Drosophila melanogaster: one gene and its partner. The protein of the gene in region 1 interacts with the protein of each later gene in a pairwise test. Each region holds a gene or a part of one and is shown in the gene's direction. Other genes may lie near its edges.

Region 1 (8,968 bases):
CTCTCTCAGGTAATTGAAGTTCTCGCCCCGCTGATCGAAAAGCAATCGAAAGCCATTGCGCCCAAGTGAGAGTAGCGTCATCAAGACATCTAGTGACTGGGAACCACTAGCTCTCCCAGCATAAGTACTGGCCACATCGTGGAGCACACTCTCATTGAAGCTGGCCACAATGGCACTACCCACTGGCACCAGCAAATTCTTGTCGCTGCTCTGAACGAAGTAATCAATGCGTCCGACTCGATTGGCGCACTCCAACTGATTAACGATTTCCTTTGCCTGCAATCCATAGGCATTATTGACCAGATGGGGAATCTGCCATTGTTTGGACAACTTGGATACTTCGGCAATGTCATCGCTGTTTCGTGGAGCAAAACAACTGGTGGTAGTGTACAGGCAGAGGATGCTATCCACTCCCAATGACTTTATCTTTTCTCGGAATAAATCTACGTTCGTGTTCAGGGACTCTCCTTTAATAAGGCAGGGGATGACTACCGGCACCAAGCCCGTTGCTGTGATGGCCTTGAAGCAGGACTTCTGATCGATGCGGGACCAGAGCACATACCGCGCCCCGGGTCGCCGCTTGCGAAGACTCTGCAGGCACAAAGTCAATGTCATGCCTGTACACATTGGCACCAAAAAGCAGCCAGCACAGCTGGGCAGTCCGATTCCCCGAATAAGGTCCAGAATCAGGGCGTTTGTGAGACGAGCGAGCAGCGTAGAGCCAGCTGCCTTGGGTTGTGCCTCTAGTAAGTCTCCAGATCTGCCGATACCATGACCGAAGTTGTAGTGACGGCGAGCCACGAGTTCTGAATGACAAATTCATTACGGGGGATATCGCCTCCTGATCCCTTACTTACTGCAGGCTATACGCGCCTCCCGCTCTCCTAAACCGACCTTATGTGGATAGTTATTGCTGTCCAAGGAAGCCAGCATGTGCACCAGCTCCTCGATACGTTCATCGGACCAACCATTTTTCGGAAGCTTTCGCTTGAAAAGAAGAATTATCCATGGAGTTATCAATTAATTTGGGTTTAATTTCGGTTTGATTACCTTTTCGAGCAGCTCCTTAAAACTGCGCTGCTTACTGCGTTGCGCAGCCAGTCCCAGTTGCAAATAGTTGTCCGGCACTAGTTTCTCTGGTATATTGACCTGCTCAAAGTTCATTTGGCTTTTGGATAATGTAAATATAAACTAAAAGTAAACAATGTCTATCGCCGCTTTCAGGTGCGCAAAAAAAAAACAGTTAAATTTTCTTACTGAGCAAGTAAGGCGGCGATGCCATATTGTTTAAATAGCTGACAAATGGACACCTTTCGATTTTGTTTAAAGTGGAGGAAAAATATATAATATATACAAAGGCGTATTTTCGAAAATAAACTCCTCGCAACGCTACTAAAATGGACTTAACTTAATTTGTTGAATTTGTTAAGGTTAAATATGAATTTTGTTAATGCAAACATGACTTTTGTGGAATCTTTGATTCCGTTAAATGTCCGGCAGCGCTGCACCATTTTCAGGTCCGGTTAGTGGGGCCAGCCAACAGCTTCACCAAAATGTTGCCACCTTTTGGACACCTTAGTGAGCTCTGTACCATTGCGTACGAAGCAGGCCACGGTCATACCGCAAGTCATCCAGAAGAAGCAGCCCAACAGCTACGCAAAAAGTTACTTTTATTCGCAGCAAAACAGATTTTTTTGTTTTAATCGTAAGTATAGGAGTGAAAAATAGCGCTAGAGTAGACCTAAGTACACAGAAAGACAAATAGGGCGAGTAAAATCGCGGTCCTGGTCATTTCTCTGGCCTTGACCAATCCTTTGTCTGCGCTTTCGTTGGAAAAGGGGTTATGTACGAACTGCGTGCGTACCTAAGGCCAGATTAGTCATCGGGCAGTCATATATTCATGCAAAAAATCATTTGGTGGCCGTCGGCCTTTGTTCGACTGTACCTTGCTCATTATTTAATAAGCGCGACAGCAATATACACACTTTGAACCCCCATCCCACATTTTTTCTCACCGTTTCCCCCTAATTTTCGTTTTCCCTGTGCCCATCATTCCGCTTTCGCCATGTCAGTGTATCGCTTCAAAATGGCGCCGAACCACATGTCTTCGTTCTCGGCTCGTCCGCTTCGTTCGTGCGCTCGTGTGTCGTCTCATTCGCTCTCCGAATTTCGTTTAACAAAGTGGTGCGAGCAGAGGGGCGCTGGATTCGAGGCAAACAACACATATACCTAGTAACCGATTGTGATAGCTGTTAAAAATAGAATTCCGGACGTAGTCTGAGCAAAATTGTTAACGTTTATTTTGAAGGCATAAAAGTAAATTCCGTTACAAAAAATTATATTTTCTATTTGCTCTCCCCTTTTCTTTGTTGTTGTGTGTGTGCGTGCGTGTCAATTTTACCGTGCAAAAGCTCGCTCATAAGAAAAGAGAGGTAAGAAAAGAAGGGATCTGCCATCTGTCTCTTTGTTTTTCGTCGACTCGAGTGAGAAGCATTAACCAGCCAGCGCTTCGTGAGGTTAAATTAAATTACATATTCTCGCACGTTCGTTAGTTGTGAAAAAGCAACAGGCACACACACACACACATACACACTACACTCGCACACGACTGATTTCAATTGATTGCAAGGACACGCGGAAGCGGCAAACACAGGGCCAGACTTAATATCCTTGGGTGAAAGCGTAAGTTGCCGTTCCTTATATGTACCAATGTGTACTTGATAGCCTAGATAATTTAATTTTTGCGTTTTCGCTGCTATGACAATTTTCCCGGCCAACTAGCACACAGTCATCGGCGCGTTTTTATGTGCACTACATGCACAATGACCTCATTTCCCCAGCGCGCTACCTAACACAAGTAACCACGTCAAAATTTCACTTTATTCTGCGTTTCTATGTCGATTTCTTGGTCGCCTCACCTCTCAATTCTTTTTATTTCTTTTGTCGACATTATCAAACTGTAAAATGCACAGTGGGTATGTGTGTGTGAAAAAGAGAGATAATTAAAAAGAGATGTGAAGTGTGCCCGTTCTCCGCTCTTGAATGTGTGTGTTTAAAGCACATGTACGCTGGCATTTTTAGGTTAAGGCTTTCTTAGGCTCAGTTTTCACTAGAGTTTCCACTTAAACGCCGGTCATAGGTGAAAATGTTGTAGTTTGATTATGAGCGCAACGAGAATACATATACAGGGAACGGTTTTCCACCGCTTGGAGACCACCTTAGTCATCTTACACTAAAATTAAGATAAATCTAAAAATGAATCTAGTGGCCATGATAATTTAGTCTGGTCAGAAATAAAAACTTACAGGGGCAAACCAAAACCGCTTCCATCTCTGATCCACATTTACCTTTGCAGCAATTTATTGTATGAGTCAAAAAACTGAAAGACCAGTGCTATCGGGTCAACGCATCAAGACCAGAAAAAGAGATGAAAGAGAAAAATATGACCCAACGGGATTCCGTGATGCGGTCATTGCTGGTCTCGAAAAAACTGAAGGCGACCTGGAACAAATCTCTAAATATCTAGACAGCGCGGGCAACAAGCTCGACTATCGTCGCTACGGTGAAGTTCTCTTTGACATATTGATTGCAGGAGGTCTACTAGGTAAGTTTTCCGCTGCAAGTAATGTGTTTAGTCTCTTCACTGACCCTTTTCCATCCTCGTTTCAATTGCAGTGCCTGGTGGTTCTATATCTCAGGATGGCGAAAAGCCGCGCACAAGCTACTGCATCTTCGATGCGCCCGAGAGCATGGAGAGCATGCGCAACCATGAGCAGGTTTGTAATCTTTTAGCAGGTCATACTTAAATTATGATTATGAGTAAACGAAAATTGGTTTGATTGCAACACAAGTTGAGCTCTTGTTGTTTTCCAAGCTAAAACGTTTATTTACTACTAAATGATTTTCTTCGGATCCACTTAAAAGTATGAAATTCGTGAAGTGGCTGCATATCATTAGAGCTGACTATAAAGTTTCAAAAATGTAATCGGTGTCAAGAATATGCAATAACAATCAACACATTTACTTGTCTTTGGTTTGTCCTAAACACTAACGTTCTGAAGATTTCTTATGTGTCAACAACTACTCTTTATTCAACACTATATATATATACTATATGCATGCAACCACTGCGAAGGTCACGCTATTGAATCAAAGTGCATATTATTAGAACCGGTTATGCATCTCAACAACTCAATCGGTGTCAAAATATGCAAAATAAAAAGCCACATTTTACTTGTCTTTATTTTGTAAAATTACTACCGCCAGCAATCTAAAGATTTCTAATGTTGCAACAACAAATACAAAAGCCTCCTGCGTGAGAACACAGTAAAATTTCACCATCCGCTAACAGGGGCAATCACACTTTACCTTTTCCAGGTATTTGTCAAGCTCATCAGACGGTACAAGTACCTTGAGAAAATGTTCGAAGAGGAGATGGGAAAGGTTCTATTATTCGTAAAGGGCTTTACTCCTAGTGAACGCATCAAGCTTGCGCGTATGACAGCGCTCTGGTTAGGTAAGTCTTAACATTTATGTTCCTGTTCCTCCTGTGCATTGCTTGCGTCTGCCCATTCGGTCTTTCAATTAGTTGTTTCGATAAACACTTGTTCAACTTGCAGCTGAGGGGCTAAAGTAATCCTTCACTTGGTATACTGACTCTTGGATGAACTAACCACATCTAAGGGCCACGAGCCCAAGGACAGGATTGCTAGCCGGCCGTCTAAACTTGTTTTGCGAAAACATTTGACTAACCCTATATTTAACCCTATTTTTGATCAACAGTCAACGGTTCTGTACCGCCAAATGTTTTACTGGTACTAAACAACGAGCACCTAATCAAGGATGGCATTGCATTGGAGTTTCTACTAGAGCTGTTCCAGACGTTCAAGCAAGAGAAGGGCATTGCATATCTGATTCAGGCGCTTAAGAAGGGTGGACTGGAAAGCAAGTAAGTTTTTAGTTGTGATTTGTTTTTAGCCCCGGAATGTTCTCAGGAAGATGACTCAATGATCCAGTTGTGCATCTTTAATTGATATTCCTAGAGTAAGAAAGTTCGACGGAGTTTTACCCAATTCGCAAATGACCTTTCGCTTCATTTGGGTGCTGATTTAATTTCGTACACCTCAATACGTCATTTAAGGTTGATTATTGAATGCGTTAACTTAAATTATTAATAATGGTTCCACTTTTTCACGTTTTTCCAGACTTATGGACTTTTTCCCACCGAACAAACGTACTGAGGAATATTTTAAACAAGTTTTTCTTGACAAAGAACTTAACGAGATCGTCAAGCTACATAAGGCTCAGGCTAGCCAGGAGGCGAAGCGTGAGTTGCAGCAGGCGCTCATCGATGATATCAACGATGAGAAGCCATATAATGAGATAACCTCAGACATTAAGGACTTCTCGCAGCGCACCAACATTCCCGATCATGAAATAATTGTTATTGTAAGTCGATGCGTAAATAATCCAACTGGATGATTTCCTTACTAAATCTCATGTATGATCTTTACCAGATTTGGTCCACCATCATGTCATTGGGCGAATGGAACAAGAAGGAGGAGCTGGTTACCGATCAGGCTGTTCGTCATCTGAAGAACTACTGCCCACTGTTGCAGGCTTTCGCCTCGACCGACCGTTCGGAATTGGCCCTAATCTTGAAGGTGCAGGAATTCTGCTACGAGAACATGAACTTCATGAAGGCCTTCCAGAAAATCATTTTGTTGTTCTACAAGACCGAGGTCCTGTCCGAGGAGATCATCTTGCGCTGGTACAAGGAGGGCCACTCAAACAAGGGCAAAATGCATTTCCTTGAACAAATGCGAAAGTTTGTCGAATGGCTTCAGTCAGCCGAAGAAGGTTAGTATGTTTTGATAAATGTTATCAGCGTGCAATTTTTGAGAATGGTCTTGTCTTAAATAGCTTGATTCTGGTACGTAATTGCAAGAGAAATTTGGGTTTTTTGCTTGCCTCGTTGATTTCCATTCACTGAACAACGTAGGCCAATGAAAACCTGGACAATATAAATATTCAAATTTTGCTTCCTTCGAAACTTTACACAGTGCACTTTTTGAGAATGGTCTTGTCCTGGATGACATTTTCATTGTACAAAATTGCAAGAGCATTTGAGTTTTTGCTTGCCTTGTTGCCTCACAAAATCCGAGCATCAAAGGCCAATGAAAACTTGGACACAAATAGCTGACTTCACCGAGCATGCTTCTTACCAAGCTTTTAAAGTGTTCCCATTATTAGGAACCAGTTTTAAAGGGTTCATGTACAGTATGCAAAAGCGAAAGAATGATTGGGTGCCCATATAACCCAATGCCGTGGTTAATTTGGCCAATAATCGTTTGGACAGCTGCATTTGTCCTAGTCCGCATGCACAATCCCCTCATAAAAGCTCCGAATGGTTGCTTCATTCGATTGAGCCAAGCGGGGAGTTGTGCCAAAGCATTTGAATGGTTGGGTGTCCAGATAACTTTCCATAGTTAAATTTGGCCAATAATCATTTGGACAGCATAACCGGAGCTGCACATCTTTTCAGTTTGTACCAATTGAAGCCCCCATACTAACATTTTGTATTCTATTCTCTTTCAGAATCCGAATCTGAGGACGAACAAAAGAATGGCGAGTAAGAACTTGGTTGATGGCTAAATGAGGATGAACACAAACGGAGCCGCCCTTTAGCATCCCCATCCAAAAATTCGAAACCAGCACCTGCAACAGCCAGTCGAACTATATATAAAACTCACCCCTATGAATTAATGTCATTTTGAAAACTCCACCTATATAAAACTCAAAAATTCCAACAAATAAAGGAGAGAGTAAAAAAAACATGCTAGAAACTAAACGTTTGCAGTCCAGTCTGATATCATTCACGAATCTACACTTAGTTCCCGTTTGCAATATACCGGCAAACCCATACTATATATGTTAATAAAAGTTTGAAGTGGAAACAGCAGCACGCTCCAAATTAATAGAGAACATCTGACCGCCAATAACGTCGACTACTACGACCTGCAGTGAGGTAGCTGGAGTTCCGCGGAGTTGATGCAACAAATAAAAAACCAAAAGAGATACCACAGAGATGCTTTGTGTGAATTCGGGGATGTGTTCCGTTTGCATGTTCGCATTATTCATCAATAAATTTTCCTCATATATGCGTTTAACAAGTAGTACTCACTCTCGAAGGATTTGCCACGGCGATGAAAGGAAATTAACAAGTTATATTTGAAAGATCAATATCATTTAGCAAAGTTTCGTCGAACAAAATCTATGGATTTACGAAATATAAGATACATGGACTTAGCACATGTATACGTATAAAACCATTAAACAACCCAAAGTATTTAACTGAAACGCTGAGAAAGCATTGTATTTAAATTTGATTGGCATATAGGGGCATATTTTTGTTTAACAAATTTAGTTGGCATTATGAGGGGTCTAACTTCAAATCAGTTTTTTAAGGTCTTAAAAAGATGTGGTCCGATTCTATATTTAAAAGTTTGACAAAAAACCAAATCCGAATGCTGGATCCCCATTTCTGCAACTTCGAATATTTTGTACGTTTATTGTTACAGACATGGCCAAATCTAGTCGTCATTCATTTGTGACAAATATTACAAGTTTTAAGAAGTTACCTTTTTTCTTTTTGTATTACTTACATTGAATAAGACATATCCCGAAAAGTATGCAGCACTATTTTGGTTCGGAAGATACAATGTTTGAGATACGCTTTACTCGTCTAGTTTTAGTTCAACGGAAAGGCATCTTCTAAAGCAAACTCGTGGTGCTTCCAAGTTACAGGAATCTGCGAGTTTAGTCCAGACCTTCTGGCTTTTTTATGTTCTAGGTTTTCATACAAACATGAGCAAGTTGACTCTGCTGATCAAGAATATGGGTGTACTTAATTAAGACTTATTTGAAGTCCTAGATTGAATTTCTTAAAATAGTTTACCCCATGTCTTGTTTTTAGGATCATTAGAACATTGCAAAAGGAAGTTGTTATACAGTTAAGTTTAGTTTTTGGAAATACTGTTTTTTATTCAACATAAATTTTGTTTAAAAGTAATTTTTCTTGCATTTTGTATTTCATGTAATGTATATAGTACTCGATGTTATATAATAACGCATATGCTACTTGTATTTGTTTGCTAATCTTGTAGTTATTCATCATATTGAACTTGGTAACTTGGTTAGAAAATGAGCTTGAAGAATACACTATGAACATTGGCGAACATGCGAATACAAGGTTCAAATTTACTGTAGCTCCTGCTCCTGTATGCTAGTCGTGTGTTTGAACATGGTGTGTTGATTTTTAGAGCCTGATATGATGGCGCAGCGTCAGGTGGAAACGGTGGCAGTTCGGCAGTCCCCTAAATTGCAAAACTAATTTCCATTTTTCTATATTTTCTTTAAGTAGTTATATGAGGGTGTGAAAGCTGCACTTGATGGTCAGGTCAACAAACTTAGCTACTTGGCAAAACTTCATCGTCGTTGGTGCATGTGTAATGAATGGGTATTAAGTGTCGCGTGCTAAGCAGTGTGTATTCTCTACTCTCGGTATCTCAACAACAACAGACATTGATGATTTTCGGGGCTTTCGTTGAGCCAGTGGCAGTTGCACAAGCGTCCGTTGCCCTCGAAGAAGCGAAATCGGGGGTTTAGGTCCATTTCGGTGCTTCGCTGAGCAACAATGCTGTGTGGTCGCATGCGCAACCTGCCAGCGGCTCTGTAAAAGGGGCGATCCACTGCCGTTGTTCCTCCTGAACGCTGCACTTGATAATTACGAACATAAACGACATAGACATATAAAAAGTTAACAAAGACTACAGAAAATAATGTACAATAAACGAGGGGAAAACTGAAATAAAAATTCTTGGACAGGAATGTATGCAAAATTTTAAAGTGTATGTATACAATATAAGCACATATCTAGACCTACTGCTCAGAAATATGTGCATATGTA
Region 2 (7,374 bases), on another chromosome or scaffold:
TATTCATAACTGACGTATTAGCCAGATTTTCGTCATTGATGGAACGGATAGAACTCGACAACATTTTTACATTGTATTGAGCCGGAAAGTATGCTTCTGTTTTGGTTTTCATACTTGGCTCTCTCAAAATATGCATAATTCAAAGTAAAGCTTTCTTTCTTTCCACTTTCTCATGCTCTGGCTAGTTTACCGGGCTTACAAGCAGCCAGAGGTTCAACGTCTGCAGCGACTTGGTCGACAACTCAGTTCAGTTGGTGCACTTGACGCGTCTGGTTCTGCTTCCCACCACTGCGGATTAAGCCAAGCCTGACGAAGGCCAAGTCCAAGAACCTTCTACAAGAAGCAAACGAGCGGAGATGGATTATCGTCTAGTGCTGGTATGTCATCATTACGGGTGTGCTAACTGCACACTTTTTCTATGGCTCGCTGGTCAAGTTCGTTGCCCAAGTCTTTTGTTTTGCAATGCGTTAACATTGGCGAGCTAACCGCTTACGTTTACTGTTACTCAGTCCCTGGGAACCGCCCGATTCTGGAGCATGCTAATGAATTAAGCTAACCAAAGAGCAGCGTACGTTCCGATCCGTTCTGCCCCTTCTTCTAGTTCGGTCTTCTAACTACTGGCTTTTGGCCGGGTGCCGAGCAACTTTCCCGTTAGGCGTGTGGCACGCATATTGGGAACAGAGCGCCAACAAGTTCTTTCCTGACCAGATCAAATCAGCCTGTCTTGGCCCCGAAAGGCGGTTAGGTCTTCATTCTGCAATTGAGCTACCAATATTTACCTATGCAAATTGTGCTCTTTCCATTTGGGAGCTCTCTCGCAGGGCAAACAAGTTTCTGCCTCATTAGAAGGGAAAAAACAAAAGAACGAGCTTAGCGGCTGACCCGATTTTGGATTCCCCGACGCCGCATTCAAATTACGCTGTGAACCGTGTCACAAAGAGAGAAATTCCACAGCTTCTTGGCACTGCAGCCGCCCACCGATCTGTACCACTTGACCTGGATTACTCGGGTCTGTCCGTGGAACTTTTGGTTTCATTGAGATGCCACTGCCCAGAACTTCAGGGAAAGTTCCCTCGAACAATTAATGGTCAAGTGAGCACAGCGGAGAGATGCTGAAGTGGCGTCTCGATCGCAGTTGCTGCCTCGGTTTGTTTATCTTCACAAAAACAGAAACAGAAACTTTCGCGCTTTCGCCAAACAACAAAACATCGAAAAGTGTATGTATGGCCGGGTAAAAGATCTCGATTCTTTTTCCGGACAATATTGGGCCATTCACCGACTCTTCTGGGCAATTAACTCGACTCCAGACGGCTACGGCCACTGATTGTACCTCCACTGTGACTATCTTTTGTTTTGTAGAAAATTCTCAGCTTTCTGCTGCTGGCCCAATTGGGTTTCTCCCAGCCGCAGCAGCAGTCGCCATCTGACTACGGTGAGGAGCAGCCTCCGGAGGGTTATTACGCCTTCGTCGAGTCCCCGAATGCGGTGCCTCCCAAGGTCAGGCCGCCACCTTACACCTTTGTAAATGCGGAGTGCAAGGACGTGGCCGCCGGCAAGAAGTCTGCCGTGTCCGTTCACAACATTTGCGGAGATCTAAACAAGGGTCAGATACCCAAGAATCCGCTGGGACAAAATGTACTCGGGGAGCCCTATCCCTTGTAGGTGAAAATATTTGCGTAACAAATTTCAGACATCTCTAATGTACACCTCCTCCACAGCGAACTTATTCGCAACCAAACGCTGAAGTTCCTTTCGAAAACTTTGCCCGTTCTAAAGGCCGACGATACCCTACCCAAGGTCACCCAGATCATTCGAGATGAACCCGTGGAACAGCTGGACAGCAACAACATCGACAGGCCCTATCCCGCAGGAGGTTCCACTCGCGTCCGCCGCAGCCTGCCGGAGGGCGTGGAGTCCAACGAGTACAGCTACTTCGATCCCGCCCTGGACGAGGAGGAGCAACACAAGCAAAGGGATCGGAATAACCAGCAGAGAAGGGCCGCCGAGGAGAGGAAGCCAAGGAAATTCTGCGATGGCGGTGGAGTGTAAGTTTTTAGCATGGAAACGGGGGAGTAGAGTTATTCCAATCTTAACTGCTACATAAATGAAAGATAAATATATCGTATTTCTTAAAGCACGGGAAAGGCGCGCATATAAAGCTAAAGAGGTCACCACTTAAAAATTATGAGTCATCTTTATAAAATTATAGATTCGAAGAATTATCAAGGCAAAGAACCCAAATGAGCTTGTCATTTCACTTTCCACATCATAATGTAAAGCCATACAACTAAAGAAGCTCAACACTTTAATCGACATCCATAGATATTGTAGAATAGGTTAAGAGAGGAGTACATCATGGGGTATTCAACTGCTTAGCATTTTGACGACACAACTGCGTGCAGGTCAATTAATAAAAGATTTTTAAACTTTTAACTCCACCCACAGATTTTGCACCTTATACAGGGCAATTCAGGGAGACACCGGAGGAGCAGCCCCTGCCACGCCCACTGCGGAAAGGCGCGAGGAGGTGGGTCCCATCCGGTACGAGGGTCCTCCCACTCCCTGTCCCGCCAAGGTAGAGTACGCTACTCCCGTCTTCGCTAAGAACTACCAAGGCGCCTGGCGTTATGTGGTCCAGATTCCCTATGAGGGCTACTTCACCCAGACGGTGGAGGTGACGCGTTGCATTCAGGCACGCTGTCACTACCTGGACGGCGGTTGCTTGTCGTCACCACGCTGGGTAAGCCTGTTGGTGGCGGAGATCTTCTACCCCAATGCGGAGGACACAGTGCCCACCAGCTCGACCACCACTCAGGCCCCTTCTGTGCAGGATTTCCAGGCCTACCAGCAGTACCTGCAGAAGAGGGCAGGCGTGGCTACCGCCTCCGACGGAACCTCGTCTGGAGCAGCCGGCCCCGCGGCGCAGGTGGACGCCCACTGCGATGGACACGATGAACTGGGCTGCTTCCAGGTGCGTCTCTACTACGACTGGTTCCTCATCCCCGGCTCTTGCAAGTGCTGGCGCCCGGACTACTTCGCCAAGTACGTGCGCCGGAAGTCGGTGGCCGAGTTGTGAACACTTCCTGGACAGGATTTTCGAAGGAAATCCTTAGAATAAGACTAAGTTCTAGCCTTTAGAGGAACACAACTTTGAGGTGAAAGGCTCATTCTAGTAATCCACCCGGGTGCCCCACAGCCCTATACGGATCACGCAGAGTTTGCAGTTCGTGCATCTACCAGATACAATCTTAACCTAGGCGGTTAGCTCCCTCTTTCGACTGATTAAGCCAAGAGCAGTGCATTTCTACTAATAAATACGTTTCTACCTAATCATAAGAGAGCCTCTCTATTCGGCACTTTGCTGAGACTGCGATGTGGTATTGGCCTAGCCTGTGTGTGTTAGCCTCCTGGAACTCTCTCAGCTGCGCTTGTGTTGGAAGATCCACCGAAAACCCACAGAAACCAGTCGCGCAAGTTGCGCATGCGTGCGAGACTCGGGCCCAAAACCTCGGCCGCTGATCTAGTGTGCAGTCAATATAACCAGTTGGTTGGCTTTGGGTGTTTTGGCCGGGGATCCAAGCGACCGAGCTGCATTACATACACAGAATAGTTGCAGAGTTTGCGCAGAAGCCTTGACGAACGGCCTCAAAAGGCTGCCAGACGAGCCGCGGACTCGGATTTCAGGAGCCAATTTTCCGCATAGCTTGGGTAAGTCAGCCAAATGGAGGGCCGTCTCTTTGTTTATAAACAAAATAAGCAACCAAAGTGGACTAAGGTACAGATGCAGCTGCGATAATAACATTGAGTAAACTTGGTACTTGAAGGCAAGAAACTAACAAAATCATTCATTTGCACGTCTCAGTTGAGCCCATTTAAATAAAATTGTAGAGTTTGAAATCAAGTAATTTTGTGTGGCGACTAGACGATTTTATAAAAATAAATTTGTTAAAACTGCTTGTAAATAAGTGGGAAATATCTTAGCTCAGAGATTCAGTCCTAAGGCAGCGTGCCAGATTCACACACATTCCATTTGGAGTTACCCATGCAAATGAGCTCCTATTAATATAAGTTATGCATTGGTGCCAAGCGTGGGACTATACGATTCATAATCTCATCCCACTTTCCATTTTGCGCCATCCGCAGACGAAGATGCTCCGCCAGAACAAGAATACCAGTACCAGTCTGCTGAACCTAAGCATAGGCGATGTGGGAGGCAGCCATCCACAGGGGCAGTCGCAATTTTGGGAACTGGATACGCTGCCTAAGCAGTTCGTCCTGTCCATGAAAAAGCTCTTCGACATCTTAGATGACAAGCAGACCGGATACGTGCGCTTCACGGACATCGAGAAGGGCTGGCAGGATGATGGCTCCAAGGGACTGCCACGCGGAGTTGTGGACTCACTCCGTCGGGTCACTCCCAGTAGCGGACTTCTCTCCTTCGAGCGGTTCTGCGCCGGCCTCAAGCTGTGCCTGCTCCGCAATCAGCAAAACGCTGTGGAAGACCTGAAGTTGCGGCCTCGTTCCCACGGAACTCTTGCTCCGGAGATGGAGTTCCATTCTCCTGCTCCGCCGCCAAAACCTCCACGACAGGTACCCAAGTCCCCTGCTCTGGGTAAAGACGACATTCGCCATGCCCTCCAAAACTGGCAACTGAACCTGATGGCGGACGCAGGAAAGTCAAAAACGACGCAGTCGCGGGAACAATTCGAACACCGTGGATCGGCTGACGGTGGCTCTTCCTCCACCTCTGCTTCGGCCACCGACTGGAGCCTGGCCCTTCCGGCTGTGCCCAAGAAGACCAGCAGCAAGCGCAGAGAGTCGCGGAGGCACACTCTGCAACACGGCATCGATTACAACATGCTAAAAAGACTGAAGCAATTGGAGGAGCAGCGGGAACTGCTTCTTTTCGGACTCGATGGCGTGGAGAAGGCACGCGATTGGTATATGATGCAGGTGCTCAATGTACAGGAGCAGATAAAGTATTTCGGCCGTTTAGGAACCCGATTTGTAAGTAGTCCTCTAGCTTGTAATTAATAGTTACCCCTTTCCTGATTTTCGCACAGGATCAGTGGTCTGAACTGCAGCAAGAAAGGCTAAACTTTCAACGCGCCCGCGTTTTTGAGGCCAATCGCAGCCTCCAGATTCTGGCCGACACCTGGGAGCACGGCGGCTACCCACTGCACATTAATTTGGCTGTGCCGACACCCACCGTCCCAAAACCGAGGCAGATGTCCGATCTGCTCAGTCGGGTTCGCGAGAAGCCGCCGCTTCTGTCAGACTTGTACGAGGCGCAGCACTCTCATTCCCATCCGCAGTTCCTGCGTGCCATGCCCAACTTCGTGCTCAGCCAGCCCTCGCCGGTCAGCCAATCCTCGGCCGGGCTGGGAGACGCCGACGTGGTCTACTGACGAATCAATGCTGCTGCGTACATTGTAAATAGTGTATTATTAAACAACTTGAACTATGTAAAGCTATACGGGATTGGGGTAGCGGCGCATGTACTTGTTAAGTTGCTTGTAGTTCAGGTTGCTGCCCGGTTGGACGATTCCCTGGTTCACGGTCTTCTTCGCCTCAAACTTACGGTCCATGTAGCACTTGTAGCAGTTCTGGAACTGGCTGATCTCCTTGTGGCAGTACTTCTCCACGAATTCGTTGTCTTTCAAGCAGGCGAACAGCACGCCCATCTCCTGGAGACAGGCCACATCGGATCCGGAGTCCGCCTTCCCGCTCACGGTGTTCTTCAGCCGCAGAGGCAGAATCTCCTGGAAGGGCACGTCCTTCTCGCTTTGAGGCGCTCGGCCGCGCGCGGCAAACAGGGCTCCGGGTACGCGCATCTGAAACCCCTTGGCTCTGTGAGTCCGGTCATTTCAGTCAAAAAATACGATTTTACCCACCTCGTAATTTCCACCGACTCCTGGACAACTGAACAGCTGCTTCAGATTACGTCACGAACTGGTTCCTGCTTTTGGTGGTGATTGCCAGTACGTCTGCAGCCCTGGTATTTCGTTTAACATAAGCATACGGTCACACTTAGAGTCTCCGTGGAACAAAAGGTAAATAATCAACCTGCGGGCACGCCAGGAGATTCTTCAAGGATCACCGAAGACCACGCGCACATGGAAGCCGCCGAGCAGCTCGACGAGGCGGCAGCACCAGCCGCCCTTTGCGCGCCTTCGCGTGCAGCCTACGCGGCCGCCGAGCAGGAAGATCCAGACCCAGACCAGGAGCAGGACCGAGGCCGGGAATCGCCCATTGGTTCGTTGGAGTGCGCCCCCACCCTGAGCAGTCGCAAGCGGCAGCTGAGTCGCTTTCATCCATACCACGGGTCCAATATCCAGTTGGGCGACGACGCCACAGTGGCCTACCGGAGAGCTAGTTTTGCCGACGCCCTGACATTCTCGGAGCGTCCGCTGGCCCCTGGGGACATCTTCTTGGTGGAGATCGAAAAGATAGAGCGCGGCTGGTCGGGCCATATGCGTCTTGGTCTCACCGAACTAGCGCCCAATGTGATTCGCACCAGCAGCGAGGGAAAAAAGGCGCCTCAGGAGAATCTGGTTTTTCTCGCGCAACCCAAGGGACAAGGCAGCACTCAACAGAGCCATCAAGGAACTCAAGGACAAGCTGTGTACCCTACGGCAAGACTCCTTCGACAGATTCCTTGAGGAGCTGGAACCTGGTGACCCGCAACATAATCTGTGGCAAGTCACGCGTCATATCAGGAGGCCTGCAAAGAAGGCGTCGCCGGTGCGAAAAGCGGACGGCTCTTGGTGCCGCTCTGAAGCCGAAAGAGCTGAAGCGTTTGCAGATCACCTCCAGAATGCATTCACACCATTTGACAGATGCACTGGCGAAGAGCGTGCTGCAACCACCAGGTTCCTAGAGAGTCCATGTCCTCCTAGCCTGCCCATAGAGCCCGTCACCCCAGAAGAGGTTGCGCAAGAGATCGCCTCCCTAAAGGCTAGCAAATCCCCAGGACTGGATCGCATCGACGCCACATCCCTTAAAATGCTGCCACCGCCCTGTTCCCAGTTGTTGGCCAACATATACAACAGATGCTTCTCACTAGGGTACTTCCCGAGATCATGGAAACGTGCAGAAGTCATTCTCACCCTCAAACCTGGAAAACCTGAAGCCAATCTTGCCTCATATAGACCGATTAGTCTGCTGACAATCCTCTCCAAAATACTCGAAAGAGTATTTCTGCGCAGAGTCATGCCAGTACTGGACGAGGCTGGACTGATCCCTGATCACCAGTTTGGCTTCAGGCGATCCCACGGAACACCAGAGCAATGTCACCGGCTCGTAGCACGCATCCTAGATGCATTCGAGAATAAACGATACTGTTCGGCCGTATTCCTGGATGTCAAGCAGGCG

What was found.
Region 2: the proteins of kra (region 1) and CG3880 interact in a two-hybrid assay, tested with the Drosophila melanogaster proteins (one large-scale study listed by BioGRID).

The regions. Positions count from the first base shown.
Region 1 is NT_033777.3:5,593,752-5,602,719, reverse strand, and holds kra (krasavietz), read left to right. Parts: upstream 1-1,583; 5' UTR 1,584-1,705; intron 1,706-2,148; exon of another isoform or gene 2,149-2,682; intron 2,683-3,146; exon of another isoform or gene 3,147-3,355; 5' UTR 3,356-3,366; coding exon 3,367-3,604; intron 3,605-3,675; coding exon 3,676-3,776; intron 3,777-3,942; exon of another isoform or gene 3,943-4,082; intron 4,083-4,153; exon of another isoform or gene 4,154-4,297; intron 4,298-4,377; coding exon 4,378-4,516; intron 4,517-4,562; exon of another isoform or gene 4,563-4,705; intron 4,706-4,782; coding exon 4,783-4,948; intron 4,949-4,980; exon of another isoform or gene 4,981-5,124; intron 5,125-5,204; coding exon 5,205-5,448; intron 5,449-5,516; coding exon 5,517-5,859; intron 5,860-5,888; exon of another isoform or gene 5,889-6,023; intron 6,024-6,061; exon of another isoform or gene 6,062-6,194; intron 6,195-6,210; exon of another isoform or gene 6,211-6,360; intron 6,361-6,379; exon of another isoform or gene 6,380-6,519; intron 6,520-6,597; coding exon 6,598-6,635; 3' UTR 6,636-7,356; downstream 7,357-8,968. Other genes in the region: SecS (Sec synthetase), read right to left, coding at 1-806, 858-987, 1,051-1,164. UniProt on the Drosophila melanogaster protein: May be involved in memory formation.
Region 2 is NT_033778.4:24,757,139-24,764,512, forward strand, and holds CG3880 (uncharacterized protein), read left to right. Parts: upstream 1-3,525; 5' UTR 3,526-3,708; intron 3,709-4,143; 5' UTR 4,144-4,149; coding exon 4,150-5,007; intron 5,008-5,063; coding exon 5,064-5,408; 3' UTR 5,409-5,467; downstream 5,468-7,374. Other genes in the region: spz6 (spatzle 6), read left to right, coding at 357-377, 1,360-1,658, 1,719-2,045, 2,446-3,076; CG12848 (uncharacterized protein), read right to left, coding at 5,472-5,834; CG3894 (uncharacterized protein), read left to right, coding at 6,117-6,527.